Macaca fascicularis: one gene and its partners. The protein of the gene in region 1 interacts with the protein of each later gene in a biochemical or structural test. Links are inferred from orthologs where the notes say so. Each region holds a gene or a part of one and is shown in the gene's direction. Other genes may lie near its edges.

The links.
Region 2: the proteins of MPDZ (region 1) and KIT form a complex in vitro, tested with the Homo sapiens proteins (2 studies listed by BioGRID and IntAct, with this or other methods). The link is inferred for Macaca fascicularis from reciprocal best matches to the Homo sapiens genes MPDZ and KIT.
Region 3: the proteins of MPDZ (region 1) and CRHR1 form a complex in vitro, tested with the Homo sapiens proteins (2 studies listed by BioGRID and IntAct, with this or other methods). The link is inferred for Macaca fascicularis from reciprocal best matches to the Homo sapiens genes MPDZ and CRHR1.
Region 4: the proteins of MPDZ (region 1) and CYSLTR2 interact in a test that uses a peptide from one of them, tested with the Homo sapiens proteins (2 studies listed by IntAct, with this or other methods). The link is inferred for Macaca fascicularis from reciprocal best matches to the Homo sapiens genes MPDZ and CYSLTR2.
Region 5: the proteins of MPDZ (region 1) and HTR2A form a complex in vitro, tested with the Homo sapiens proteins (2 studies listed by IntAct, with this or other methods). The link is inferred for Macaca fascicularis from reciprocal best matches to the Homo sapiens genes MPDZ and HTR2A.

The regions. Positions count from the first base shown.
Region 1 is NC_088389.1:85,773,501-85,779,467, forward strand, and holds the end of MPDZ (multiple PDZ domain protein), read left to right. Parts: intron 1-319; coding exon 320-432; intron 433-1,320; coding exon 1,321-1,444; intron 1,445-3,270; coding exon 3,271-3,417; 3' UTR 3,418-4,688; downstream 4,689-5,967. UniProt on the Homo sapiens protein: Member of the NMDAR signaling complex that may play a role in control of AMPAR potentiation and synaptic plasticity in excitatory synapses. Promotes clustering of HT2RC at the cell surface.
Region 2 is NC_088379.1:79,156,387-79,161,549, reverse strand, and holds the end of KIT (mast/stem cell growth factor receptor Kit), read left to right. Parts: intron 1-308; coding exon 309-414; intron 415-1,560; coding exon 1,561-1,689; 3' UTR 1,690-3,843; downstream 3,844-5,163. UniProt on the Homo sapiens protein: Tyrosine-protein kinase that acts as a cell-surface receptor for the cytokine KITLG/SCF and plays an essential role in the regulation of cell survival and proliferation, hematopoiesis, stem cell maintenance, gametogenesis, mast cell development, migration and function, and in melanogenesis.
Region 3 is NC_088390.1:67,368,901-67,374,981, forward strand, and holds the start of CRHR1 (corticotropin-releasing factor receptor 1), read left to right. Parts: upstream 1-1,863; 5' UTR 1,864-2,083; coding exon 2,084-2,116; intron 2,117-6,081.
Region 4 is NC_088391.1:27,792,475-27,798,578, forward strand, and holds the start of CYSLTR2 (cysteinyl leukotriene receptor 2), read left to right. Parts: upstream 1-1,908; 5' UTR 1,909-1,996; intron 1,997-6,104. UniProt on the Homo sapiens protein: Receptor for cysteinyl leukotrienes. The response is mediated via a G-protein that activates a phosphatidylinositol-calcium second messenger system.
Region 5 is NC_088391.1:26,037,400-26,043,634, reverse strand, and holds the start of HTR2A (5-hydroxytryptamine receptor 2A), read left to right. Parts: upstream 1-1,949; 5' UTR 1,950-2,004; coding exon 2,005-2,416; intron 2,417-5,312; coding exon 5,313-5,513; intron 5,514-6,235. UniProt on the Homo sapiens protein: G-protein coupled receptor for 5-hydroxytryptamine (serotonin).

The DNA.
Region 1 (5,967 bases):
CTAGAGTTTTAAGTAGTGCTAGCAAGTGGCTTGTATTCCAAAGATCTTTAAAAAATAATTACATATGAGACCACATTTTAAAAACGTCAAAAAAAACTTTGTACAATAGAATTAGAAGAATGTGTTTACTGTCAGGACAGTTAAGAGGCCTCTGGACCTTGTGAAATTTCATTCTCTTTGGTTGTATTTTATGTTAACAGAAATGATTAAATGGACAATAAAATGTACATTTTAATCCAAGTGCTCTTTTTGAAGAAAAATTACTTTCCTTAGCCCCAGGAACATGTGTTTTTTCTGTTTATCCTTCTCCTGTGTGCAGGTGGTTGCTGGAGGAGATGTGAGTGTGGTCACAGGTCATCAGCAGGAGCCTGCAAGTTCCAGTCTTTCTTTCACTGGGCTGACGTCAAGCAGTATATTTCAGGATGATTTAGGGTGCGCTCATACATGATGATTAGTGTTATCATTTTTTACTTATGAATCAAGTCTTCCTGACAGTTGCATTCTCTGTCCCGTGTTTCTAGGAATTACGTACAGGTAAAATGATAGGATATATGAAGTATGAATTACACATATCAGGTGCTTCCAAACTCAAATAATTATGGCATGGATTTAGCTGATCAAAGATAAGTAGAGAAATAGATAACTAGCTAGATAGATAGGCATGCTACTACCCTTCCCATGGTTTCAGCTCTGATTTTGGGGCGGAGGATATTTTAATCTTGATGTTACCACTTCATGTAATATGGAGCAAGTCAAATCTATCATTTTAAAATTTCCAGCACTGCCTATTCATTTAACATATTATACTTTGGATTGAAAAAATTCACGGTATTAAGTAACAACAATTGGATAAAAAAGCATTGGAAAACAGAGAGAGGCACATTAGAAAATTTAAATAATTTGATGCAGCTTTTCCATTGCTTATAAATGATTTTTCTCTCTGAGCTTGGGTGTACTGATGTTTATGACTTATTCTGTTATTGTCCCCTGAACTTTAGCCCTCTCACTTTAAATAAACTGGAAAAAGAATGAGCTTCTCTGTACAACGAGAACATGCCATGAATATGTTAGTTTAAGGGAACTGTAAATGAGTAATAGAATTAGGGTGTTAAGTAGGATTTCATTAGATTATGTAAATTTAAAATACCGAGCACAGCGTGCACTGACAATTTAAGCATCTCAAAAATACCCATAATATACTCCTTGTCAGTGACAAAGAGAATTATGCTAGCTTTAGGTGGATGTCAGATAATTCATAACATATATATAGATATAGGGTTTTTTTAATTTAAATGTTGTTTTTCCTTTCCTTCACCGTAGACCTCCTCAATGTAAGTCTATTACACTAGAGCGAGGACCAGATGGCTTAGGCTTCAGTATAGTTGGAGGATATGGCAGCCCTCATGGAGACTTACCCATTTATGTTAAAACAGTGTTTGCAAAGGTAAGCTTGCAAATTTTAACCACCCTCTTTTCCCCTAAACATTCATTAATAGTGGTCAGCAGCTGGCTTATTAGTTTATGGCCTGAGGTAATGCCAAATGGTTAACAGTTGATCATTTCTTTTCAAAACTCCCTACAGGAACAGGTCATTAAATATTTTTGTCCAATTTGAGGTTTCATTATATTTAAAGGAAAATAGGTTCAAATTGAAACTCCATGGAAACTCTTAACAATATACATAAAAATATTAATGAACTTTGGTTAGTAAAGCCTATTTTTTTTTCTTTGAACACAAATTGCACATGATTGTCTTTTGAAAATGGAACATTTTAAATGTGTATGCTATAGAGCACTGATATTTCTGTTTGCATATTTTTGTCGTCGTGAAGTATAAAATAGTTATAGAGAAGTACATAAAGTACACATGAAAATTAATAAGCATTTATTTTATAAGTTTAATTTCATTGACTAAAACAAAAATAACTACTGAAAAAAATTTAGGGAGTATCCAGCAACCCTATCATCTATGATAAGTCAGTGATTTGCAATCAAGAGATTCAATTAACAAGATTGTCTAGTTATAATTATACCTATTCTATCTTAAGGTTTAGAATAAGAGTAAAGATATTGCAGTACTGGTAAACCTATTAAAATAATTTAAACCCATATAATTATTGTTAATATGTTAAGTCGTTTTTCAGGAGCTACAAAATTGGACAAGATTCCTGCAGGGAAAAATTTAGAATCTCAAAATTTATAGTGTAAAAAGAAACAAAACTTAGTCAAACCTGTTTAAAAATTTGATATAGGGCCTTTGGATTAGTGGTATGGTCCCTTATGGATGTTTTATTTTATTATTTTGGAAAAGGTTTTTTTTTTTTTTTTTTAAGCCAATTTAAAGTGCTGTTACCTACAACAAGCTAGCTATAGGCTTAATTTATAAGATTTTTTAAAAAGCTATTGGTATGTCCAAAAATACAAACAGCATTTGCTAGTGAATAGAAGAGTCCACAGTCCTTTTTCTCAGCCTAGGAACAATTTATTTAAGGCATGCTAGTTAGAACATATTTTAAGAATTTCATCATTATGGATTCCTCATTAACTTTTCCATATCTTTAATTTTATATTTAATTGTATAATTGTCTTCTATAAGCATGCTTTATTCTTTTTCAAACAACAATGTCTGTATTTAATCTTAATCATTTAGGGTCCATAAGGAATATGAAGAATCTCTCTACCCTTGGGAAGTAAGAACTAAGACAGCTTGCATAGTTTTTTCAAAACCACAAAAAGAATTAGAAATAGCAGTGGGTTTTAAATTTAGAACTTACGCCTTATCCTGCCGTAGTGAACGTTCAGGTGGCTTTGTGCTTTTCAGACCTTTGGATTTTGTCATCCCTCAAGCCATTGTCCTGTAAAACTATTTTTGTTCCTGCCTAATCATTTACCTTCTTTCTGTAGGTCTTCTTTACAGGATAGAAAATCCTGGATTCTATTGAATCATTCCTACTAGGCAAATTCCCAAATATTCTTTATTAATTTGTGTTCCCACCAACTGCTGTGCTGAACAGCCAAAAACCCATCCAACTAATCTGTTGACTGCTAAATTCTCTCTCAAATTGGTATCTCAATGCTAAAACCATTTAGGAGAAAGACCTTCTTTGTCTATGTTCATCATTGCTTAATGGCTTAGAGCACCCATGGAGCACTGGGAGCAATGTGTGTGTACATGCAGAGCAATTTACATTCCTGTTGAGATCTTTTTCTGTTGTGAGCTGCAAGGCAGCATTTTTTGAGAAATAAACAAGTCTACCTTATAATTTGCAGGGAGCAGCCTCTGAAGATGGACGTCTGAAAAGGGGCGATCAGATCATTGCTGTCAATGGGCAGAGTCTAGAAGGAGTCACCCATGAAGAAGCTGTTGCCATCCTTAAACGGACAAAAGGCACTGTCACTTTGATGGTTCTGTCTTGAATTGGCTGCCAGAATTGAGCCAACCCCACCCCTAGCTCACCTCCTACTGTGAGGAGAATGGACTGGTCCTGACTTCTTTTATGCTGTGTTCAGCGGGTCTTCAAAACTATAGGGGGGAAATAACACTTAAGTGTGTTTTTCTCATATAGAAATGCTTTCCTTACTGACAACCTCACATCATTTTTCTTTTCTTCTTGCATTTTGTGAACTTAAAAAAGAGAAGGAATATTTGTGTAGGTGAATCTGGTTTTTATTTATGAAGATATCTAACGTTTTGTAGTCACATGGGCAAGAATTATTACATGCTAATCTCGTTAGTATAAAGAAAGATAATTCTAAAGCTAACCAAAAAAAATGGATTCAGTAAATTAGGATGAAAAATGAAAATATAAAATAAAGAAGAAAGTCTTGGGGAGTTTTAAAAAAATGCCTCAATTTGGCAATCTACCTCCTCTCCCCACCCCAAACTAAAAAAAGGAAAAAAAAGTTTTCTATTGAAAAATCTTTAAAAATACTGTCAGTATTTTAAAATTTTCAACACAGTATAATAAAAACATTGCATCTCCCCACCTCTTACATGCATATGTATTTTTCCTGCTAAAATTGGTTTCTATAATTGAGTAAATAGCAAATATATGAAGCAATGTCCCTAAATTTTATAAAGAAATTATATTTAATGCACATCTCAATTTTCATTTTTATTTTTGACCTTTTATAAAATATTTTCATGTTGCTATAAGTAAATGATGATGCCACCCCATGTTGACTATGGTTTTTCTAGAAAGCAACTATGCTGCTAATCATAGAGGAACATAGAAGGGTCCCAGAATCTTTAGTGCTGATTTTAACAACTGATGCAACATTAAAAATGTGTTAGTGTGCTGTGCAATTGGTTTTCAATTCATATTAATCTTAATGATAGAAAACAATGTGTTAGTAATTATTTTGGTTGTTTGCCATTAGTAAATTGATAGAAAAATTAAGGCGATTAACATAACTTCATTTCATCGCCTTATATTAACATCTTATAATACAATAGTTTAAGACTAAGGGAAACAGATGGAGCTGTTTATTGAGACAACTGGTGAGGAATTATCATGTGTTCATTCCCATTTTAGAGCGTGAAACTCCTACATTAGAATATATAAAGTCACTTTAAATATTATCTATATTTGTAACAGAAGTAGTGTACAGATATTTTATTACAGCATTTTTGTGTAAATGCAGAATTAAAGTGAATAAATAAGAATTTTCAGTGGTGCACAAATAAAGAAGCAGCAAGCATTTTTTTTGTTCTTTTTACTGTGGAAAAGCTTTGTTATATACTGTTCAAGATTTACAACTTAAAATTGGTTTTTATCATGTCTAACTGCACATACGGTGTCCATAGTTACAGCTAAAGGAACTTTGGACAACATCATTATGGAAAGCTTAATATTTTTTACCTCCACAATTTTTTCTAACACTAAAGATTCATAGACTCCTCATAGATTAGAGGAAGATGACATTGTAGAAAGAGAAGTATCCTGCCTGTATATGTTTTTCTCAGATGCTGTTAATGCAGTAATATTGTAAGTTGCTCTTCAGTGTAGTCAAGAACTATTCAAGTGTATTCAGATGGACAAAATCATAATCAAAATTATTTGCATTAATAAACATGACAAGTCCAACTTGAACACTGAGCAAGGAATGAGGGGAAATTTGCTCTACTAGTTTTGTACCAAATTAGCTAACAAACATGCATTTCCCTCTCATTCATCTTATCTGCAAAATGATAGATTATTTTATCACAAAGGTTCTACTTAGTTCTAAAATATGAGAATTCAGTGATTCTTACACAAAATAAATAGAAGAAACTACATATTGCAACAACTCAAAAGTTGTTAACCAATCATTGTAAATTTAGGTGCCCAATGTAACAAAACTCATTTTAGTATCCCAGTGACACATCTACCTTCTTAGCCATCATTTAGTGGCTCTCCATAATGAAAGATGCCATTATTTCATGGTAGGCTGCTGGAACATGAACTAACCTCCCATCTGAGTTTGAGCTAGCAAGTAATTTTTATAGAGGATGCTCCCTACCAGACTGTATGGGAGAAAGCCAACCAACCCCTTCAAGTTTCATAATATGTCTAAGTGCTCCCAACAAGAACAGCCCAGGTTAAATAGTGTCTCCTCATGATTCATGTCCATCTGAAACCTCAGAACGTGACCTTTGGAAATGGGGTCTTTGCAGATGTAGTGAGTTAAGTTCATGCTGGTTTAGGATGTGCTGTATCCTATGACTGTGGTTTCCATTTAAGTAGGCATTGTGAAGGCACAGACATAGGGAAGAAGGCCCCATGAAGATGGAGGCAAAATAAAACCAAACAGACAAACAAGCTAAGGAATACCTAGGGGGCCCTCAAAAGCTGGAAGAGACAAGGCATGTTTTTTCCCTCAGGCCTTCAGAAGGAAGTTGGCCTTATTGGCACCTTGATTTCAGGCTTCTGGCCTCCATACTGTGAGAAAATAAATTTCTGTTTTTTTAAGCTACAGTTTGTTTAA
Region 2 (5,163 bases), on another chromosome or scaffold:
TTTTTCTTTTTAAAGACAGAAACCCAGATGTTGAGGGTTTTCATAACACAGTTTGAAATGTCACTTGGTTTCTTTATGACACGCTGGTCAAATGTCATTTCTGTAGTTTATTTTCATAATCTCTTGTCACCAAAAATACAGAAAGTTTCAGCAGCATTTCATACATGCAGTGTTTTATGTTATCCATATGTCAGTCCGTATGTCCAGTTGCATAGCCCTGGAATTATTACTGAAGTTGCTGGATGCCATACATTTGAAAACAGACTGAGGGTGTTGAGGAGGGATAGTAAATGGCCCTTGTCTCGCAGGTATGACATAATGAAGACTTGCTGGGATGCGGATCCCCTAAAAAGACCAACATTCAAGCAAATTGTTCAGCTAATTGAGAAGCAGATTTCAGAAAGCACCAATCATGTGAGTATACTCTGGCCGAATCCCCCTTCTCCCAGTTCCAGGTGTGTCCTCCTCCTCAGGTTTTCAAGGTGAGGACTAACCTCCCAACCCCTTCTCTCCTCATCTTAGGTTGCAAATTGGGCTTCAGGTAGGGGAAGTAAAGCAATGGAAACCAGTTCTTTCTGCCCAGCCCTCCTCTTCTGAGCCAAAGAAGGATGTGAGATGGAGGGGGAAGGGTGGAGAGTTTTGTGCTCAGTGGAAGTAGAAGTTTCCGTAAGGATTTGCCATGTTTCCTCCCCTATCTCAAATGCTGGTCATGGGGTCAGTATTTTCTCCCTCTCACGTGTCAGGGCCATTCATCCTTTGGAGGGTTGGGGTGATGTGAATAGAATAAACGCATAGAAAAGACAGCTTGTTACTGCAGTGAAATAAGCCTTCTGATCAAACAAGCATAGCCAGAAAATGGCAGATAGCTGTCATGCCCACAAGCCATATAGAATGAAGAGCTGTTTGAAGTTGGGAGATCCCTCCCAGTGATTTGGGAAGTGGGGGGGAATGAAAACTCAAATCTATTATTTCCTCTCTTGCTTTTAAGGAAGAATTAGTGATACTTTGACTCTGATTTTTTTAAGCTGCTTTCTTTACTGGGCTGTGTGCTTGGAGCTATCTTTTCTTTCCTAATAGCACACCACTGATAATTTTTGGGTTAAAGCTTGTTCTTCTGGGTTTCAAAGCGTGTTTCAACTTAAACAGCATTTTTCACCCAGTTACTTTGATTCTTGACAGGAGACCCCTGGAAGGGCCATGGGTTTCTCGGCAAATTACATTGGTTGTTGGGTTGTAGTTGGCTGTAGAGATTTACAAGCCTTTTTAGATAGGTTTGATAGTGCTTGCTCCCTGGTGTGCCCCATTAGAAGAGCTAAGCTTGTGCATGTTTTGTCCCTACTTCTTGTATGAAGTTATTTCCTTTGGAAAAATGAAGGGGAAAACAAAGCTTATATTTGTTTTGTCAGTATGACTTGGGTTTTGGCCATAAAGTTCTTGTAAACCACTTCTCTCTTAAGAGTTTCCATCAGTTAGTGGTGATCTTGACACTGTAAGTATGCCTTTTGTTGCTGTGTTCATTGTAGGGACCTGGTGTATTGACTATGCGCTTGTTTTCCCCAGATTTACTCCAACTTAGCAAACTGCAGCCCCAACCGACAGAAGCCTGTAGTGGACCATTCCGTGCGGATCAATTCTGTCGGCAGCACCGCTTCCTCCTCCCAACCTCTGCTTGTGCACGACGACGTCTGAGCAGAATGAGTGTTTGGGTCACCCCTCCAGGAATGATCTCCTCTTCTATTGGCTTCCATGATGGTTATTTTGTTTTCTTTTGACTTGCATCCAACTCCAGGATAGTGGGCACCCCACTGCAATCCTGTCTTTCTGAGCACACTTTAGTGGTTGATGATTTTTGTCATCAGCCACCATCCTATTGCAAAGGTTCGAACTGTATATATTCCTAATAGCAAAGTAGCTCCTACCATGAACAGAAAACATTCTGATTTGGAAAAAGAGAGGGAGGTATGGGCTGGGGGCCAGAGTCCTTTCCAAGGCTCCTCCAATTCTGCCCAAAAATATGGTTGATAGTTTACCTGAATAAATGGTAGTAATCACATTTGGCCTTCAGAACCATCCATAGTAGTATGATGATGCAACAAGATTAGAAGCGGAAAACCTAAGTCCTTTATGTGGAAAACAGAACATCATTAGAACAAAGGACAGAATATGAACACCTGGGCTTAAGAAATCTAGTATTTCATGCTGGGAATGAGACATAGGCCATGAAAAAAATGATCCCCAAGTGTGAACAAAAGATGCTCTTCTGTGGACCACTGCATGAGCTTTTATACTACTGACCTGGTTTTTAAACAGAGTTTGCTATTAGAGCGTTGAATTGGAGAGAAGGCCTCCCTAGCCAGAACTTGTATATACGCATCTATAAATTGTCCGTGTTCATACATTTGAGGGGAAAACACCATAAGGTTTCGTTTCTGTATACAACCCTGGCATTATGTCCACTTGTGTATAGAAGTAGATTAAGAGCCATATAAGTTTGAAGGAAATAGTTTATACCATTTTTTAAGGAAACAGTGTAACCACAAAGCACAGTCTAAAAATCTCCTCTTTTAGCTGATGAACTTACTCTATAGATTCTGCGGAACAAGTCTATCAGCTTCAGAATGGCATTGTACTCAATGGATTTGATGCTGTTTGACAAAGTTACTGATTCACTGCATGGCTCCCACAGGAGTGAGAAAACACTGCCGTCTTAGTTTCGATTCTTATGTAGCAGGAAATAAAGTTTAGGTTCAGCCTCCTTCACAGGCATGTCCTGGACGCCGGGCCAGTATCTATATATGTGTGTGTACGTTTGTATGCGTGTAGACAAATATTTGGAGGGGTATTTTTGCCCTGAGTCCAAGAGGGTCTTTTAGTACCCAAAAAGTAACTTGGCTTTCATTATTAGTACTGCTCTTGTTTCTTTTCACATAGCTATCTAGAGTAGCCTACCAGAAGCTTCCATAGTGGTGCGGAGGAAGTGGAAGGCATAAGTCCCTGTGTATTTGCAGTCCACCTGCACTTAAGGCACTCTGTTATTTAGACTCATCTTACTGTACCTGTTCCTTAGACCTTCCATAATGCTACTGTCTCACTGAAACATTTAAATTTTACCCTTTAGACTGTAGCCTGGACATTATTACTGTAGTTTACCTCTTTTAAAAAACAAAACAAAAAACTCTCCTTCCTCACTGCCCAATATAAAAGGCAAATGTGTACATGGCAGAGTTTGTGTGTTGTCTTGAAAGATTCAGGTATGTTGCCTTTATGGTTTCCCCCTTCTATGTTTCTTAGACTACATTTAGAGAACTGTGGCCATTATCTGGAAGTAATCATTTGCACTGGAGTTCTATGCTCTCGCACCTTTCCAAAGTTAACAGATTTTGGGGTTGTGTTGTCACCCAAGAGATTGTTGTTTGCCATACTTTGTCTGAAAAATTCCTTTGTGTTTCTATTGACTTCAATTATAGTAAGAAAAGTGGTTGTTAGTTATAGATGTCTAGGTACTTCAGGGGCACTTCATTGAGAGTTTTGTCTTGGATATTCTTGAAAGTTTATATTTTTATAATTTTTTCTTACATCAGATGTTTCTTTGCAGTGGCTTAACGTTTGAAATTATTTTGTGGCTTTTTTTGTAAATATTGAAATGTAGCAATAATGTCTTTTGAATATTCTGAAGCCCATGAGTCCTTGAAAATATTTTTTATATATACAGTAACTTTATGTGTAAATACATAAGCGGCGTAAGTTTAAAGGATGTTGGTGTTCCACGTGCTTTATTCCTGTATGTTGTCCAATTGTTGACAGTTCTGAAGAATTCTAATAAAATGTACATATATAAATCAAGTGGAATCATTTGATTGTTGAGATTCGTGAGATTAAACTTTAAAGCATTAAAGTGCATTCATCCTGACAACATTTTGTACTCAGTTTTCATAAAATATGTGCAAGACTATCAGATCATACTAGGATTTACATACTTAGAGATTGAACAGATATTAAGAATTTTCATCCGTGTGATATTTTCTCATTTTAGTCTTACAACCTGAGGTCTCTATTTAAATTGAAAAATAGATACAGTGAACATTCTAAGAATTTTACACATAGCTATGATTACTATTAGATTGATTCATGTGAATTTTTGGTATTCACGTGAATTTGCTGCCATTTTTGGCAGCAAAATAATGGTCAAATAACAGCAACTTCATGTGGCTTAATTTAATATGACTGGCATGTTTCCTCCCAGAAGAGACCGTCTAAAAACATGAACAGTAAAATAATAGACCAAGCTAACATGAGGAATCCCAAGAAAGTGGCTTGTATTCTTGTTGGCTTGGGTTTTGAAGACAGGTCATTTCAAAATGAGATATTCATGCTCCACCTGAAGTCCTTATTCTTACTTGCTTCTGGAACAGAGTTAGGTTCCACTTCGACTTGGAGGGAGGTGCTTAGTATGTATGAACTGGGTGCCGTCATGCGGGTGAAACATTCTGCATGCCCAAGTGATACCGTCCAGACCACTGGAACCCAAACAGAGGCTGAGAGTCCTTCAGCTTGAAACAAAGGAGGCACCCTGAATCACATAATCCTATTAAGAATGAATTAGGCACCCACACACTCTCAGTCATGACTGCCTTTATTGATGTGACATCTACACCTGCAGAAATGTCTCCTGAGAGGAAAGGGAAGGAGTGAAAAGTGACCTGTAATGAAAAGGAATCCTTTTAAAATCAAGAGGGAATTGTGTGGCAAAGAATGCGTCAATAATCAGTGAAAAACACCCACATTTCAGTCAGGCGATTCCCATTATTTTATTACAGACAGGAATGAATGCTAATTGACCACAAAACAAAGAAGTCTTTTCTTTCCAAATGTTTTCGCTGTCATTTAGCCTTTGTCATGTGTGAGGAATTTGCGTTAGAAGCGGTTGACAGGCCCCTGTGTTAGGAGTCTAGCTAATTTTCCTCACCAGCCTAGCTTTTCAAAGGAAAGTAATACCAGGTCTTGGTGCCCAGGCTCAAACTTGGTTCAAATCTCAGTGCCACCCCTGTCTCTACCACTTACTGATGTGTGACATTAGGCAGATTAGCTCTTGAAATCTCAGTTCGTGGGAGTAGTGTCTACCTTGATGTATTAATGTGAAGCTGTCGAGACCAGCTCGTTCAT
Region 3 (6,081 bases), on another chromosome or scaffold:
GAAAATTGAGGTATTGTTAAATAATTCTCCAAGTTTATACAGCTTGTAAGTGGAAAAGCCAAGATTCCAACTCAGGCCGTCTGACTCCAGAACCTGCAGGACATCAGACTGCACCGCACTTAACTGTTGTTGGGAACAGTTAGTTGTCCATCTGCTTAGCATGTCCATCCCTTCTGGGGTTGACTGGGGCAAGTCAGTGCCCACCTCGGCACAAACAGCTCCGGAGCACTAACCTAATGCGGGTTTTGCGACTCAGGACTGTGTGCTTCACCTAGAAAGTGCCAGGTGTGTGGATAAGCCATGTGAGCAGCTGGCTTCCTGGGCAATGCCCCTCCCCACGTCAATGTCCCAGGCCCCCTTAGGGCCCAGCCCTCCAGGCACTGTGAGCTGGGAATCAGGAGAGGAAGGGACTAGGCTTACCCTCTGTGTACCTCCATTTTCTCACCAGTAAACTGTGTGTGTTGCATCTTATGATCTCTTAAAATAACTCCAGCTCCAAATGAAGGCCAGTGGACCCATGAACACGCTGGCTCTTGCCCAGTGTGCTGAGAAGTCAGCAGGAGAGAGGAGTAGGGTGGGCACGGCAGGGCACAGGGTGCAGGGCAGGTGGGTTCTGTTTGATTTCAAAGCCAGCTGCCCGCCGCTCCAGGTGCTCTGGTGTAGCCCACAGGGGCTGCATTGGCCAGGCGGCCGAGGCTTTGCTGGCGGAGTGAATTTTTCTCTACCTCCCAGTGACTCCTCTTCTCCTATTCTCCCTTTTCAGCTCTGGTAGGAGAGAGGAAGAGCGAAGAGGAAGTCAAAAGTTCTGTTCATCAGGAAGGGCTGGGAGTTCCTTCCTGGGATGGGGAGCTCCGGAGCCAATCCAAAAGACGGCCCCGGGGTCTGGCGGGGAGGCCCACCGCTGCCCTGAGGGCTCGGCCGGGAGGGGGCGCTGTGTCCTCCCCACGCCCTGCCCGCGGGCTCCTAGCGGCGTTCGCCGTGCTGCAGCGCAATGCGCGCCCGGCTTTCCCCTGGGCAGCGTTCAGTGCCCGCTTGTCCTGCAGGGCACCGCCGTCTCCCTTTCATCTTGGGGCTCCCAGGTCCAAAGGGTTCCCAGATCCAGCCTCTTGCCTGAACCAAAGTGGCCAGGCACTCAGTTTGTAAGATGAACGAATGAAGGAAGAAACCAAGGAATGAATAAGGGCTCATCCTGCAGAGCGTTCGCGTCTCAGCGCGCACCAGGCACATCAGTGCCAAAGGTGCTGGGGGTCGGGCCCAGCTCCCGGCGCGGCTGGAATGGGGGCGGCGAGGAGCTCCTCCTAGCCAGCCGCAGGGCGGGAACTGCCCAAACGCAGGTCGCAGCTTCACCCGGTTCCGCGGGGGCTCCGCTCAGTAGGGACCGCCCTGTTCTCTAGCCCCCAGTAGCCTCGCCCTCATAAATTCACCTGAGCACCCCTGCCCAAGTCCCCCTAGAATCCTTGGACTTCCCAGGCCCCGACCTCGGCCGGGCGGAAGGCTGACCCTCTACCGCGGCCCCCTTCCCCCATCCCCGGCTTCTCCCCGGGCTGCGGCGGCCGCCACCGCTGCCAGCGCGCCCCGAGGACTGCCGCAAACGCGGGCGCAAGGAAAGGGGATCCTGGCGGCGGGGCGCAGGGAGCTGGCCGGGGGAAGGGGAGGGAACCGAGGAGGCGAGGAGCGGGGAGGGAGCCGAGGGGCGAGGCGCGGAGGAGGGACCGAAGGGGAGCGGAGGGGAGAGGGAGGGGGAGGAAGGGGAGGGGACGAGCTGGGCGAGGGGGCGGGGAGCCGAGGCAAGGAGCGGCGCGGACCGTGGGGGAGGCGGCGGGGGCGAGGCCGGCAAGAGGCGGCCGCGGGCCAGGCTGAGTCGGGAAACGGCGGCCAGACTTCCCCGGGAAGGGGCGAGCGAGAGCCGGGCCAGGCCGGGCCGCGGGGCCGGGGAGCGCCGAGCCGGGCACCTCCGCACCAGGCACCGACCGAGGAGCCCGGCCGCCCACCCCGTGCCGCCCGAGCCCACAGCCGCCCGCCGGCCCCTCTGGGATGTCCGCGGGACCCGGGCATTCAGGACGGTAGCCAAGCGAGCCCGAGGATGGCACGGCATCCACAGCTCCGGCTCGTTAAGGTAAGAGCCCGCCGGCCAGTCCTCGAGCGCTGGCGTCCCGGGCCCCTGGCGGACGCGGGACGGGGCTGGGCTGTGAGTGCGATGGGGGCGGGGGCGCTGGGAGAGCCGTGCTCAGGTCCCGGAAGGCTGGGCTCCGGGGCAGCCTAACTCTCGGGACCTTTGGAGCCAGGGTTGGGTAGGCAGGGGGAGACTCAGGTGAGACAAGAAATCGTGGCGAAGCCGCCGGGATGTTGGCGGAGGAGGGGGTCCGCCCACCCGGGTAGCCGGCTCCGCGCCAAGAATCGCTCCAGGCTTTGGGGCAGAAGCCTAGGGGAGGGGAGGTTCCACCTCCCACACCCCCCTGCAGACCCCGGCCCTGGGACGGGAGGCTCTGAAGCGGGGCTCCCCACCTCACCCCAGAGCCCCCGCACAGCTCCCCGACTCCGCACGCCCCCGCCCTAGTCCTGGGAACGCGTCCTGCCCTTTCCCCTCCGCGGCAAGCTGCGAGCCCGGGGAGATGAATGCCGCCCGCGCCTGCGAGCCCTTGATCAATATCGCAGTCTCAGGGGAGGAGACGGTGCCTCCGGCGGCGGTTCCTGTTCCCCCACCGCGGCCGGGAGCGCGACGCTCGCTCTGCAAGCCTGGGCACCCGCGATCTCCGCGCTGCGCGGCCGACCCTGCGACGCGGATCGGGCGCTGGAGTTTAGGAAAGTCGCCAGACCGCACGTCCAGCGTCTGCCCGCTGAAGTTCGTGGGCGGTGGGGGCGGCCCGCGGGTTGTGTGAGCCCGGGAAGGGCTGGGAGGCCGGCAGTCCGGCCCGCCGCCCGTGCCAGGCGTCACTTGCAGCCCCGAGCGCTTTCCAAAGCGTTTTGGTCTTGTAGAGTACAGGCGCGCCCGCTGCAGTCGGCCGGAGAGGCGGGTGGGCCTCTGCGCGGCTGCCGGGAAACCCCGCGCCGCGCCAGTCTGGGCATCGCCTCACCCGGGGCTCGGGACTCCGCAGGGTCCGCTCCAGCCAAACATAGACACCAGCTTGACCCGGCTCAGGGCATTCAGAGCGATTACATTCGAGAGACTTCGGTGGATTTGGGGGAGGGGTGTGGATTGGCGGAATTTCATTTTTCCATCAGTTATTAAACCAACTGGTTTGAGTTAAGCCACCAAGATTTTTAAATGCAGCAGCTGCTGCTTCCTTAGTTGAGACGTTACAAGTTACTGAGATTTTTCTCTAATCCTGCCCCTCCCCCAAATATTTATAAATTGATTCTTAAAATGACCGAGGTTGGTCTCATTGAACCCACATCCCCTCCCTCATCCGGTATCTGAGGGCTAGGGATGAACTCACAGATTATTTTCTGGGCGTTTGAAGTGACAGACAGGTGAGGAAGGTAGAAGAAAAACATCCAGAGAGGTGGAATAGATGGCACTGAATGGTAATATTTTCCAAAAGTCTCGTGTGTACCGAAGCCAGGTCTAAATGCACAAACCAGTTACACCAAATAGTCAGTCTTTTAAATGGATTCAAAGGATTGAACTGTGGGTGTTTTCTTTCTTTCTTTCTTTCTTTTTTTTTTTCCAGGTTTACACGGAAATAGATCAATGTTCTTTTTCTGGCCTTTCTTAGAATTGTGTGCAAATCTCTGTTTAGAATGATGATGTTTTCCTTTTTAAAAAGTATTTTTATTTCCGTTGCTCCTACTAGATGGTAGGTATTTGCCCTTTATGCCTGGCCTAATAAACTCAGTAGGCATTCAATAAACACCAGATGAATGTGGGGCAGTGAGTGAATGGCCAGCAAATACTGGTTTCAAATGTTGGTTACAATTAAATAGTTGCTTTTCTTCTTTTCTTTATGTAGCATGTACAATTCCCTGAGCATTATTCTAATGTTGCTTATTTGCTTTGCAAATATTAAGTCATTTAGTCCTCCTAACAGCCCTAGGAAGTAGGAATTATTCGTGAGACACGGAGAGGCTAAGTAACTGGTTCAAGGTCACACAACCAGTGAGTAGTCAGAATTCAAACCCAGACACTCTGATAAAAGGCTTTGTTTTGTTTGCTTTTACCAGAAAATATCCTTTTTTTTTTCTTTTTTTTCTTTTTTCTTTTTTTTGAGACAGGGTCGAACTCTGTTGGTCAGGTTGGAGCGCAATGGTGTGATCATGGCTCACTGAAGCCTCAACTTCCCTAGGCTCTGGTGATCCTCCCACCCCAGCCTCCAGAATAGCTGGGACCACAGGCATGCACCACCACACCCAGCTAATCTTTGTATTTTTTGTAGAGATGGGGTTTCCCCATATTGCCCTGGCTGGTCTCGAACTCCTGGGCTCAAACGATCAGCCAGCCTCAGCCTCCCAAAGTGCTAGCATTACAGGCATGAGCCACTGTGCCTGGCCATTACCAGAAAATATTCTAAGCCACTTAAGTTTCACTGTAGAGCTCAGCCAGATGAGCGCTCAGGTAGTTTTGTCAGCATGAGAGTATGAATCTAGGGGATTTAGGGTTAATCCCAAATCCAGCTCTGTCCCCAACAAGTCAGCTGGGGTTGGGAAAGGGCTCCCTCTGGGGCCTGTATTGTGGGCCTCACACTATACCGCTTATAGAGTCCTGGGGGAAATGCGTGTGAATGGGGAGAGACAGGGTGTGTGAAAGTGTGCGTGTGAGTGGGGAGAGACAATGTGTGTGAAAGTGGCCGTGAGTCAGGAGAAGACAGAGAAGACATTGTCTCTATCCCCAGGGAGGGGCAGGGGCCTGAGCACCTCGGAGTCAACCACACACCCACTGCAGCTCTTTGTAGGGAGATGGAGTGTGGCTCTAAACATGGACCCCCGTGTCTGTGAGGGGTACAGAAGGCAAGGCCTCTCGGTGGGTTCTAACAGGAGAGTGAGCTCCCAGGAGGGAGCTGGTTTTATTGCTATTGTTATTCTTACATAAGCAATTTAGCAGCAATAGGCAAAGTTTGAAAACCAGAATGGAAAATGATTGCAACCTCACTCTCTTAATCCGGCTGCTGTATAATTCATTTAAAAAATAACCCCCTTCTCAAGCACCTGTCTGGGCACAGCTGCGGCCGTTGGGCAGCCCTGTCCCCAGTGTCACAGCCCAAGTCTGTTTCACGTTATTCCCGAGCCTCCGCAGGAGACTGTCAATGTCTGCGTGTTGCCTGTGAGTGAATGGACTTTGCCATCCCTATATCGGTGCATATCTGGGCCATTTCCAAGTTGTTTCTTTGATTAAATGATATGGAGCCAGGTTTTCGAGGGGAGCGTTGGCAGGAGGCATGAGGAACGCGAAACAGTGAGCCCAGGGTGGGCCAGTGAGCTGCTGTGGCGTACGGGACTGCTGGCCTGGCCACAGACTGGGGGCCAAAATGGGGAGTGGCGAAAGCCAGGCCAAGCCCCTTAGATTTGAAATGACCAGCCATAGAGAGGAATGTGTAGGTTATGGAAAAGTAGAACACTCACCCAGAGCCAGTGAGGACGAGCTCAAGTGGAAAATCCATTTCTCACCCTCTCTAACATTGGCTCCTCAGACAGCATCGGCCTGCAGCTGAGTTCAGCCACATATAAGGAGTTTGGGGGTCAAAGGTGCCACCAACCCAAGTGCCCATGTGGCCTAGAAGCAAGCGGTTAGGTGCTGGGCTGATAATTGCAGCAGCCATTGAAGGGGAAAGGCCATCAGGCTGGGAGTCAGTGAACCTGACTCTGGTCCCAGCTCTGCCTCCAATCAGCTGTGTGATGACAGGTTGGTCACTTTCCCTCTCTGAGTCACAGCTTATCTGTCTGTAAACAGGGATATTGGACTGGATTCTCTGTTACTTCTCATGTCTCTGTGAAAGGTCTGTGTTTTCAAATACTCCTTAGGGACATGACCTCACATAGAAAGAGGCAGGTGCCACCGATTGGATTCCCAGCTCTCCCCCTTCCCAGCTCTGCTCAAGCTGAGGGACCTTGGAACATGGTACTTGGACCTAAGTACTCTCTCTGGGC
Region 4 (6,104 bases), on another chromosome or scaffold:
GCAGGCTTTGCCAACTGTTCTGTATAATTAGGGTAATTAGCATATTCCCCACCTTAAACATTTGGCATTTATTTTTGAAAACATTCACAATTTGCTCTTCTAGCTACTTGAAAATATACAATAAATTGTTGTTTATTTCAGTCACTCTACAGTGCTGTAGAACACTAGAACACATTCCTCTTATCTAGATGTCCACTGATCAACTTTTGTGTCCATTAATCAACCTCTGTCTATCTCTCCCTGCCTCCTCCCCTTCCCAGCCTCTAGTAACCACTATTCTACTCTCTACTTCTATCAGGTCAACTTTTTTAGCTTCCACATATGAGAACATGCAGTATTTATCTTACTATGCCTGGCTTACTTCACTTAACATAATGTCTTCCAAGCTCATCCATGTTGCCACAAATGACAAAATTTTGTTCTTTTTAAATCAATAAATAGTATTCAATTGTGAATATATACATTTTTCATCCATCTTTCTGTTGATGAACATTTAGGGTGATCCATATTTTGGCTATTGTGAATAGTGCTACAGTAAACATGAGAGTGCAGAGATCTCAACAAGATTCAGTAACCCTACTACTGAGTATATATCCAAAGTATTTTATTCGTTTTGATGCTATTCTAAATGGAATCGTTTCCTTAGTTTCCTTTTTTGGTTGTTTATTGTTAGTATATATAAATGCAACTGATTTTTGTGTATTGATTTCCTATCCTGCAACTTTGCTGAATTTGCTTATTAGTTCTATTGGGGTTTTGTGTGTGTGTGTGTGTGTGTGTGTGTGTGTGTGTGTGTGTGTGTATGGAATCTTCAGGTTTTCCTACGTATAAAATTTTATCATTTGCAGACAGATATAATTTTACTTATTTATTTCCAATTTGGATCCCTTTTATGTATTTTTCTTGCTTAATGTTACTGCAGCTTTCTATCCAGGAAATGAGGATTTGAACAGTGATGGGGAGGTCAGCAATGGTTGGAGTTGGGACATATTTTATGGGCAGAACAAATGGAACTTGTTGGCTCAGAAGTGGGTGGTGGAAGAAAGAGAGAAGTTAAAAGTGACTTCTAGGTTTATGGATGGGCTAAATTATTGTGGTGCCACTGTTTAGACAGGGTAGATGGGGGGATGCAGGACTAAGAGGGGAAGAGAAAAGGTCCATCTGGGTCACATTAAATTTGGCCATGATTGTGCATCAGATAGATAAAAGCAAGAGAAGGAGGGAAGAAGTCAGAACACAGACCTCTGGGGAAAGCTCACATGTAGAAAAGGGATGGAAGAAGAGGCATCAGAAAGAGAGGCAAAGAAGAGCAATCTGAGGGGGAGAAAAAGAACCAGGAAAGTCAGAGAAACAAGGAAGAAGTTTCAGGAAAGTGGTAGTGGTCAACTATGCAAACAAGACGGGAAGGAAGGTGAGGACTGAGAAAGGATTTTTTATGTGAGCAACAAGGTTATTGGTAACCTCTGACAGAACATTTTCAGCAGAGTGGATAAGGTCTCTGCTGGAGTGCAAGTGAATTGAAAATATAAGTGAGTGAGGGAAGTGCTTTAAACAAATCTAAAGTGCTGTGTGTGTAAGGCAGTGTTGCTATTTCTGTTGCCATGGAAACAGAAACCTTTCAGGAGAACTAAAAGCCACTTAAAATCCCTGACTCTAACCCATTATATCCGCTTGTTCTCTTGAGAAAGATAATGACAAAAACCAGTCATTAGAGGGGCAGGGCAATTTTAGGTTTCTTCTTTTTAGATGTAGCCCTTAACTGGAAATCTTCCCCCTTCTTGAGAAGAGATCTTGCACTGACATCTATACTGGCTTCTAAAAAGCACAGATGACCTGCTACACTTCCTGACTTTCTTGCTATTGGTTGGCACTGTTCATAAATATAATTTGCTGTTTCCCTTTTCTTTTAAATGAGCAATCCGAATTACTTGGAGGAGAAAGGCAGAAGAGATAGAGGCAGCAGAAGCCAGGGCAGCTGAAAGACAGAGAACTTCAGGTGGGCATTTTAATCTTTGTTTTGTTAATTCAGTGTTGAGAATCATGACTTGAAGATCACGTAATAGAGGAGTAATTTTTGAAAAGTAAATTTGTTTTGTTCTACTATAAATATTATTTTCCTATCATGTACATGGTAGTTTAAAAAATACTGTGAAAGTACAAAAATGTTAAAGGAAGCCAAATTCTCCACCAAGATAGCCTCTATTGATATTTTGGGGGTTTTCCGTGTGTGTGTGTGTGTGTATGTGTGTGTGTGTGTGCGTGTTTGTGAATGTGTATATGCACATATAACTTTAGTTTTCATAGTTGCGTCCCTGCACTATGGACACGTTTATATTCATTTCCTGCATTTCAGTCTATGGTTTTTCCATGTTGCTGTGAATTCTTTGTAATCATAAATTAAAGCTGCTGCATAATATTGCATTGAGGAACTTTACTTCCTCCATTTTTAGCTGTATAGCAGTTATCCTATTTTTCATAGTTTGGGTCCTTTTATTATATAAGATATATTTTTTTCATTCAGGGTCTTGTTTTAGAGGTAGAAGAAGTTGAATCTGAGCACATATGTTTCAATGGTTTTGCTTAGAGGCACAATGAGAGTGAAAGAGTATGTGAGATCATGAGCATATAATCTGTTCCTTACCCCACTGGGACCCTAACCAGTGTTTCTCAACTCTGGCTGCACATCAAGTCAGAATCACCTGACTCTGAGGAGATTAGAAAATTACCCCTAGAATAATTGAAGCTTAACTTTTAGAGATCAGCAAGTCATCTGCAGTATTTTGTCTTGTTTTCCAGAAACTTCTCAGGTGATTCTAATAGGTGGTCGGCATAAAAACAGATGACCTACGTCATTCAAAATATTTTTCTGTCTCTGACATATACCTGAGAGTAATATGTATTAGGAGAAAGGGAGGTATAATTTCAGGCAATCCAATCAAATCTCCCTTTCAACACTACATACATAATGCAAATTACAGAATAATTTGGGGGGAAACATAAGACTTCTAGAAATTTCTATCTACCTCAGCCACATAAACTCTTGAGATGAGAATCTACTTGTGTTTCGATTTACTAATGTTTTAAAGAGGTGGATTTGTTTCCAGTGCTTCGATGGTTAAAAGTTAGAGAAGTTGAGGCTGTCGTATGTTCTGAATGTACCTGAATCACGCCCATATCTGCTAGAATCTGCCAAGGCAGCCAGGCTTCCTTTCTTTTGCAATCTTCAAGATTAAACACAAGGTGGGCATTTAATAGCTGGCCAGTCACTAACACACTGTGGGCACAGTGAAGATCGATGGCATTGGATTTGGAGGCAGAAGGTGGCTCACTCTGGCTTTCAGGAGCCCCATAGACATGGCACTTACCTTCTCTGGACCTCATGTCCTCAGGAGGAAAGTGGACAGAGTTTATGCCAGGGCTGCGTTCTGGTTTCTCCCATTGGGGACTGAAAACAGAGCCAGAGCCCCTAAACCACATTGAAGCATTTGCTGTTGCACTCCTAGCCTGCTGCAGGCCAGGAATCATCCCAACGAGACCAACAGCATGTTAATCAAATTTCTTCTTGTTTTGACTCAGTGGAGAACACCTGTTTAGTACCTTCATTAATGAATGTAAACATTCACATAGTACTTTACAAAACACGTTTACATGCATCAGTTCATTTGATCCACATACTAGCCTTAAGAACTGGAGTAATTCTTATTTTAAAGATGGTAAAGATGAGACCGAGAGAACATAGGATCTTTTCCAGGTGGAACCAGAACTGGTCCAATCTGGTTTAGCCCAGGGCACATGGTCCATTCTTACAACTTAAATAATAGCTATTGTGGGAAATTGGTTAAACATATTTCATAATGTTTATATAATTGGTTATTCTGTAGCCAGTTAGATGATGACATTGATGTTGTTATTTGGCAAAGAAAGGTGATCATGGCATGGAAATAAGAAAAAAGCAAGATATAAAACAGTATTATAAATGCGCTTATTTTTGTTTAAAAATATTTTCATATATTTCAAGAAAGATGAAAAAAAGCATATATGTGAAATTTTAGATATGTCTGGTTGGTGGTAAAGTTCATAATTTAAGTTTATTTCAGCTTGTATTACATTGTAATTTTTCTTTACCATGAACATGTACTACTTGTGTAATAAAAATAAAGGAAAGTAAATAGAATTGTTCATGTCTTTCTGGTTGGCTCTTCTCCGGATGAAATGGCCCCATCTTTTACTTGGCCGTAAAGAAGGCTGCTATTTAATTCTCTGAGTTTTGTACGTTATTGTCACAAATTTTATTGTGATTGTCAGCTAGTACTGACTGAATTCTTTGTGTGTGTTGGGCACCAAGTTAATCACTTCACATCCATTTTTTTTTTCATCAGTACTCACTCCAGTGCTCCTTTGGCAGAGGAGAGTTTGAAGCTCAGAGGGCTGCAGTAATAAAAGAGACTAAAAGGCAGAGTTGAAACTTAAACCCAGGACCCTTTTAACTCAAAAGCACATGGTTTCATTCATTATATCACTCTGCCTCCCATCCACCTGGGATCACATGAGCAGCCTCCGTTTTGGAGGAAAGATGATATATTTTTTCAGTGTACTACTCATTGCTGTGTACATGAATACATGATGGTTACTTTGGGCATCATTAAGATTTCCTGTGTACTCCAGAATCAAGGATCCTTTCTGCTTTTCTATAGTTTGCTCTATGCACCAGATATCTGAGGCACTCTAGTTCCCCAAGGGTAAGGCTTTAAGATAAAAGCCTCACAAGGGATTGTGCAATTACCCAATGAACTCTGGCTAATGCGGCAGCCAAACTGGATAATACAAAGAAAGGCAAGTATTTTGCTGTGGATGCTTAGCTTTGCTAGAGAGCTTTTTGAAATCCATGTCAGAAACCCCTAGCACTGTATTTCTTTATTTATCAGGGTATTGGCCACTGCCTCCTTTGTACTGCAGTTACTTATGTACAGTAGGTTCTATTGGACTAAGACTTGGACATTGGAGTCCTTGCATAGAACCTAGCACATAAACTCCATTGAGAATAAGGCATTGTGTAAATAAATCGATTCACCAGTGAATGCAGACTTTAGTTACAGCTAATGTTTATCTCTGTGGAACTTTATTAACCTCTTTATATTAATTGACCCATGGAGAAAATATAATCTTGACAGAATTTAAAGGAAAACCTCTTCCAATGGATTGATGACTTTGTGGCAGTATAGTCAGAGTCTTTTGACAGAGAAATCTAGTTATTATTTGAGAGGCCCAGGATAAGGGTCTAAGCAGTGAGTTGGAGTCAAGAAATTCCAAAGTTGGAAGGGTCCTTAGGAAGAGCTGGGACCAGAGGTAGACTTTTTTTGCTTCTTTAGTGTGAAATCCTTAAGGGAGAGGTTTCCAAAAAGTATAGGAAGCTGACTATAGGAAGAACAAGAAGGAAGGAGAGAAAGGAAGGGAGTAGAGGAGAAAGGAGAGGAGGAAAGAGATGGAAGAGGAGGAAAAGAGATTGAAGAGGAGGGAAAGAGATGGAAAAGGAGAGAGGAACAGAGGGGAAGGGAGCCGGTTTACTCTGGAAGTTTAAATATTAAGCTGGGGTAATTTAAAATAATTTAGTCCACCATTATTACCTATATTGTACATTACATAAATAAGAATTTTTTTATTATAAAAAAGATAATTTCCCATATAAGTCTCCTCCCATGAGGCTGTAGAAACAGCATCTTACCTTGTTTGTACCTCTACTACAGAAAAACAATCATCTAAAGAGTATTTGAAGGCATCCTAGATTCTTTTTTCTCTTTTGTCAAATTATTATTTTAAAAGTATTTTAAATTTGTGTAAATTTATGGATTACACATGCAATTTTATTACGTGCATAGATTGTGTAGTGGTCAAGTCAAGGCTTTTAGGGTAACCATCACCTGAATAACATTGTATCCCAGATTCTTTTAGGTAAGTTGGTTTCTTTTTATTTTGAGTCTTACCTTAAAAATAACTCTGTTATCTTGTAAATTCACTGAGAGACATGAAGGTGACTCCCTTTGTTAGTTGTAAGAGGCAGAAATCCCTATTGGGAACTTGCTGGCAGAGAGTCAGACAGACAGTTT
Region 5 (6,235 bases), on another chromosome or scaffold:
GGGAAGATGCTGAGGTTGAGGTCTCATAGGCTACCATGGAAGGAGCCAATGGGCAGCTGGAGATTTAAGTCTGGAACTGAGGGAAATAATCAGCTATGAAGGTACAGACTTGGCCACAAACATATTGAAGCCATGAGAGTAACTGAATTTGTCTAGGGAGAACGTGAAGAACAGAAGGTGATGGAACTCTAGAAAAACCCAGCTATTGAGGAAAATATTTTCATGCCTGCAGAAATAGAGAGATCGAACTGCTTCCTTGAGAAACCTACTTGGGAAAGGGCTTTCTTCACAAGTAAGGCAAGTTGTCATTACCGGTGGGGGAAAAAGTTGGTACTGCAAAACCAACTTATTTCCTACCACATGTGAGGTTTTGAATAACATCTGGGTGGCATACTTCTGCTGAAGAAAATAAGCCAGTTCAATGGCATCTCTATTAAACAAAAATAGTGCTAATAGTGTATCAGAGTTATCACCATAGATGTGCCTGGCCACCCTGAGCCCATGTGGCCAACGTCAGTAATTCCACTCTGGACACAAACACTGTTGGCTTTGGATGGAAGTGCCGGACGCTCACAGCACTCCCAGGACGTACTGTTTTTCAGCCTTATTTATGTTCTCTCTTCACCCTTCAGCCTAAAAAATGACCACAGTGCCACTTACCCACCTTAATGGGAATCTGCACGAAAGGCCATTTCTCCAGTTTCTCTCTCTCAAAAGCAAAGGAAAACTCCCCAATATTAATATGTAGCAAAAAGAGGGAGAAGAAAAAGCCTATTTGGTCCGCCCTCCTGGCTGTTGCTACCTTGCAGCTTATGACATACACATAGAGGGAGGTCTGATGAAGTGAACGAGGCAGCCAGAGAGCTACTCCATTCCCGTGGAAACCAGGAGTCCCTTGGTGCAGACAGCTCTTCCTACTTTCCCGTGCAGTTCTTTTGTGTGACTTTGAGGGGCTCGTGAATGATTTCTAAATGTGTGCCTGCTGAGGCGAGCCGCACAGGGAGGGAGGAACCCAGCCGAGCCGTGCCAGAGGAAGCCAACAGGATCCTAGCAGTGCGGGAGCTGGCTCGGCTCTTGCATGCAGTTTTTGAAGTCAGCAAAACAGAAACCAAATTACTATCATATTATGCTGGTGGAAGCTCAAGAAGAGGGGACTCTACACCAGTTTAATTACTGTGAAAGATACACTTGTTATTCTGTGACTCGCTGCATCTCATGTGTGGACCCTGAAGACAAATGTAAGTTCTCGTGCCGCTATATTTTATTGCTATGTAATTTTCTTTCCGGTTTGAAATCATGCTTGGCCAACATGTAATCATTTCAATGAGAATTTCTAGTGAGCAAAGTTGTCTGCTAATCTTTACTTAAGACTTTTTTGTTTTCCTTTTATTAGCTAAGCAACATTGTGGGAGCTGAAATTCCTGACGGCAGCTGTGGCAATTCAGCCTAAGAATGGCTGAGAACTGTAACCCAAAGTACATCCAATTACTATGGGATTAACACTGGATGTATTTTTAATTGACTTTCTTAATGTAGAATGTGTACATCCCCGCTGTTTCTGATTGCATGCTATTTTAATAATACTGTGGCTAAACTAGTACTATCGGCATAACCAACAAAATGAGATATAAACAAGAGTCCCAGTAGTTATAAAACTTTTCTTCTTTGTCCAGGACATTTATCTCCCCGAATGCTCAAAAAAACCTGCAACCTCTATGCTAAAAGTTCATTCTGCTTTTTTGTCCTCGCTTTGCCGAGAAAATAATAAAATCAAACCGTGGACTCTCCTAAAATTGTGAATGAAGAAAACTTAGAGCCACCACAGTTCGGTTCTTTATCATTGTAATAATTGTAATAATGGAAGACAAAAATCCAGCCCCGGGAGACCAGCATGTACACCAGTCTCAGTGTTACAGAGCATGGGGACATCAAGGTGAATGGTGAGCAGAGGCTATAACGTGTTAGTCCTTCCACACCTCATCTGCTACAAGTTCTGGCTTAGACATGGATATTCTTTGTGAAGAAAATACTTCTTTGAGCTCAACTACGAACTCCTTAATGCAATTAAATGAAGACACCAGGCTCTACAGTAATGACTTTAACTCCGGAGAAGCTAACACTTCTGATGCATTTAACTGGACAGTCGACTCTGAAAATCGAACCAACCTTTCCTGTGAAGGGTGCCTCTCACCATCGTGTCTCTCCTTACTTCATCTCCAGGAAAAAAACTGGTCTGCTTTATTGACAGCTGTAGTGATTATTCTAACCATTGCTGGAAACATACTCGTCATCATGGCAGTGTCCCTAGAGAAAAAGCTGCAGAATGCCACCAACTATTTCCTGATGTCACTTGCCATAGCTGATATGCTGCTGGGTTTCCTTGTCATGCCCGTGTCCATGTTAACCATCCTGTATGGTGAGTGGCATTAGTTTCCCAGCTGTACTCGCACTGGTAATAAAGAGCATGTGCATGCCATCAGTAGATGAGATGGGGCTCAGGAGGCAAACAAATGATAAATAGAAGGCTTTATTTATAGACTAGGGTCTACTATGTTACTTATATTTTACTCTTAAAATGGGATTTCACATAAAAATCAGACAGTCTATGACCTGTGATCATTAGAGAGTTTCGTGCTTTAAAACATGTACATCCTGTGTAAAAATGATCATTGGAAAGTTTTATGCTTTAAAACCTGTACATTTAATGTAGACATTTTTATAAATTACCCCGATGCAGTCATAAACCAGTAACTTACCCGTCATTCTGAATCTACTTGATTTTTGCTCCTTTATATTCCCAACCAATATTCCAGCCTTCAGGACAGAACAGTTTCATCTTTGTCACACAGTTTTCAGCACTTCTAATGGAGTGATAAAGCCTTCCCAATTACCTTGAACATTTGCAGGGAGGACATTAGTGGTGCAGTAGGTTTTATGTTAAAATATGCAGAGTCTCCATTAGAATAAATGAATTACTCCAGTTTTAATTGTTCCCTGCCCAGAGAAGCTAATTTGGAAATGTGCCTTTGAATTATATCCTCAACTCTTTAAAAATGCGTATGCATACACTCCTCCCGTCTGGTTTGGAGGAGGGTGGGAAACAAATGGGAAGGGATTAATCTTGCTTTCTTCTCAACAGAGTTTGAAACAGTCAAACCTCTCAGCAAGGGACCAGAATGTGATATTCTTTCCAAATTATGAGTAATACAGCCAGATACCTCCTTAAAGGAGAGAGAGACTATTGTGACTGCTGACACAGGCACGAGCAGCAGTCACCCCAGAGCTTAGAGACAGGTTATGATAGCTATCTTTAAGGGGAAATTTTCTGGCCAAGTCTTAGGGGCTAAGATTTAAAAAAAAATCAACCCAGCCCTGGAGAGTGTGAAGAAGGCAGGCGGTAGGCAAGGGCGAGCAGGCGCCAGTTTGCACAAAGCTGGTAATTCTCATTGCAAGTCCAGCCTTCGCTTGACCATTTAAATGCCACACCAGAATGATTTCATTAAATTTGCCTGTCCTTTCCCCGGCATCCTGGGGAAGATTCTCCCCTTCCCAAACCCCCTCCCCTAGGGGGCAAACTCCAGTGGGGGTAGGAGGAGTGACAGAGCAGGAACCAAAACAGCAGCTGGAGGGTGGGGTGACCCCAGGCGTCACCCGCTTGGGGAGCAAGGGCGCCCCCTGGCGGCCGCCACTCTGAGCGCAGCCTGTTCCCTCCGGAGCCCCGCCCCTCCCTGAGCTGCTCCTCCCGCCTCGCCCAGTCCACGGGGCGTGGGGCATGAGGCTTCTCCCACAAGGAAATGCCCCCTCCTTATCCCGCATCGGAAACACGGACTGAGGCCTGGGCTGCCTGCTTGCGGAGAAAACCCCTCCGAGGGCCATCTGTTTCGAACAGAGAGAGTGTGGTTTCCCCCATCAGGCGCTGCAAAGGAAAAGGCTTTCATTTCAGCTCAAGCTCTTTGCAAATAATCTAAGTGAATGGATGTAAATTAGGCTTGTACGTACGCTCTTTACTTATCTAAGTATCTCCTGTGGCATTTTGGTAGAGAGTGTACGTTTGCGTTGGAGTTTGTTCAGCTTTGTGGGTCTGTAATAAGAAAAGTGGACTTTCATATTTTCCTTCTCACATGCAGGCAGATCTAACTCCGCTGCTTATGCTGTGATCAAAACTAATTAAAGTTTATATAACTGCTTGATCTACCTCCAAAACACAAAACCAGGACACTTTGTTTATGTCCATAAGGCACACTCTAACCTTCCTCATACAGCAGGTGACCTGCAGTGTCTCTTACATTGGAATTGTCTGGGGAGCTGGGAAAAGGCTTTGCAAACGCTTTGACATTTGATGTCCACCTCAGCCCACCCTCCAAAGATGATTTAATTGGGCTGGATTTGGCACAGGCATCAGGACCTTCTCTAAAGCTCTCCAGCTGATTCTGATGTGCAGCCAGGATTGAGAGCCACCACCCTAAAGCAGCTGTTCACATAGCTTGGTCCCTGGACCAGCAGCATCCGCATCACCCTGGAGCTTGCTAATTCAAATGCAAATTCTACAGCCTGCTCCAGACTAACTGCATCAGAACCTCTGGAGGGAGGTCCAGCAGTAAGAGGCGTGGCAGAGTCTGATGCTCACTAAAGTTTGAGAAATGCTTCCCTAAAACAAAGCTCAGAGCAAGGACACCTTCCTTTATTTTTCTTCACCCTTGTCTTCACCTCTCCCTACACATACCCTAAATTTGAGTTTGGCACCCAAAGCATTATTAGATCATTATTTTTCATTTTTACAAATAGACATATTCACAATCTGAATTTTTAATCATTTAGTCATTTGCACCAATGCAATTTATTGCCATCACTGTATGGGACTGGATGGTTATAATAATGACTAAGAGGTGAGATTAACCTCAGGGAAATACAATCCAGAGAATCTGTGACTAAATCCTGACAGTACAGGGTGAGAGGTGCTCCAGAAGAGGAGCCAAAACACAACTTTTGACATAAGCCATTAAGAAAAGTTTTGCCAGGTGTAAGGGGGAAGAAAGAGAACCCCCAAACAGAGACAATCTGAGTTTCCATGCCACACTCACATCACTCCAGACGCTAGAAATTTTCAAACCCTGCATTCATCAGCCAGTGCTAGCTTATCATATTTAAGTACAGTCGCCAGTGGGCTTTTTTTCAAATACTAAAAATATATTGTGCTGTCCCCTTTGCCATCACCTGTGCCTGTCCCAGAGCTGGAAATTGTCATAGGGTAGGGATCCGCATGCTCTAGGAGGCACAAGGTTGCTCACTGACACCAACCTTCTGCCTCGTAGGGTACCGGTGGCCTCTGCCCAGCAAGCTTTGCGCGGTCTGGATTTACCTAGACGTGCTCTTCTCCACGGCCTCCATCATGCACCTCTGCGCCATCTCGCTGGACCGCTACGTCGCCATCCAGAATCCCATCCACCACAGCCGCTTCAACTCCAGAACTAAGGCATTTCTGAAAATCATTGCTGTTTGGACCATATCAGTAGGTAAGTGGGAACATATTTCAGAGTCTCATTTGAAATGACAGTTCGTGCTTTCTGAAAAGACTTGTTCCATTTTGTTGTACTGAAACCTGACATCCTCAATCTACTGTTTTGGGTGGTACAAGATACGTTACAACATCGTAATTATCAGATTCGCTTCAGGAAAGAAAAATCTGTTTATGTCACTGGCTGACAACATCAATTTGTATTGCTTTGCACAGGCAAGACTATAAACAGTAGAGCCAAAAAAAAATCAGAAATAACTGTGTTTTCCCTATTTCTTACTTTCAAATCCACGACTCTAATTATTGGGTTTCCCAAAGACCTCAACTTTTATAATCACTGGACTTACGGTCAACGTAAAGATGCAGACCACTGTGTTAGAGAACATAAAGCCTCTGGGCTCTAGAGAAAGGTACCATGTGCTGAAGCTTGGAGGGGAAAGGTGGGCCAGAGGAAAGTGCCAGGATTTGCTTTGGGGCAAGGCTGCTTCTCAGTCTGCCCCGGTGTCCTTAATGACCTTCCTCCTTTTATGATACCACACACCAAAGGATTTCAACCCGCTTCTGTTAAGTTGATCACATACATTCATCTGTTGCCAGTATTGATCTTCTGTCACACACCTAACAGTGAGAAAAGCCAAGGGAAGGGAGGCTAAGGGGCAGGTCTCAGGCAGTGAAGTGCATTGTATCTGTCAACCTCGGCGGCTTGGTTGGTAACCAAAG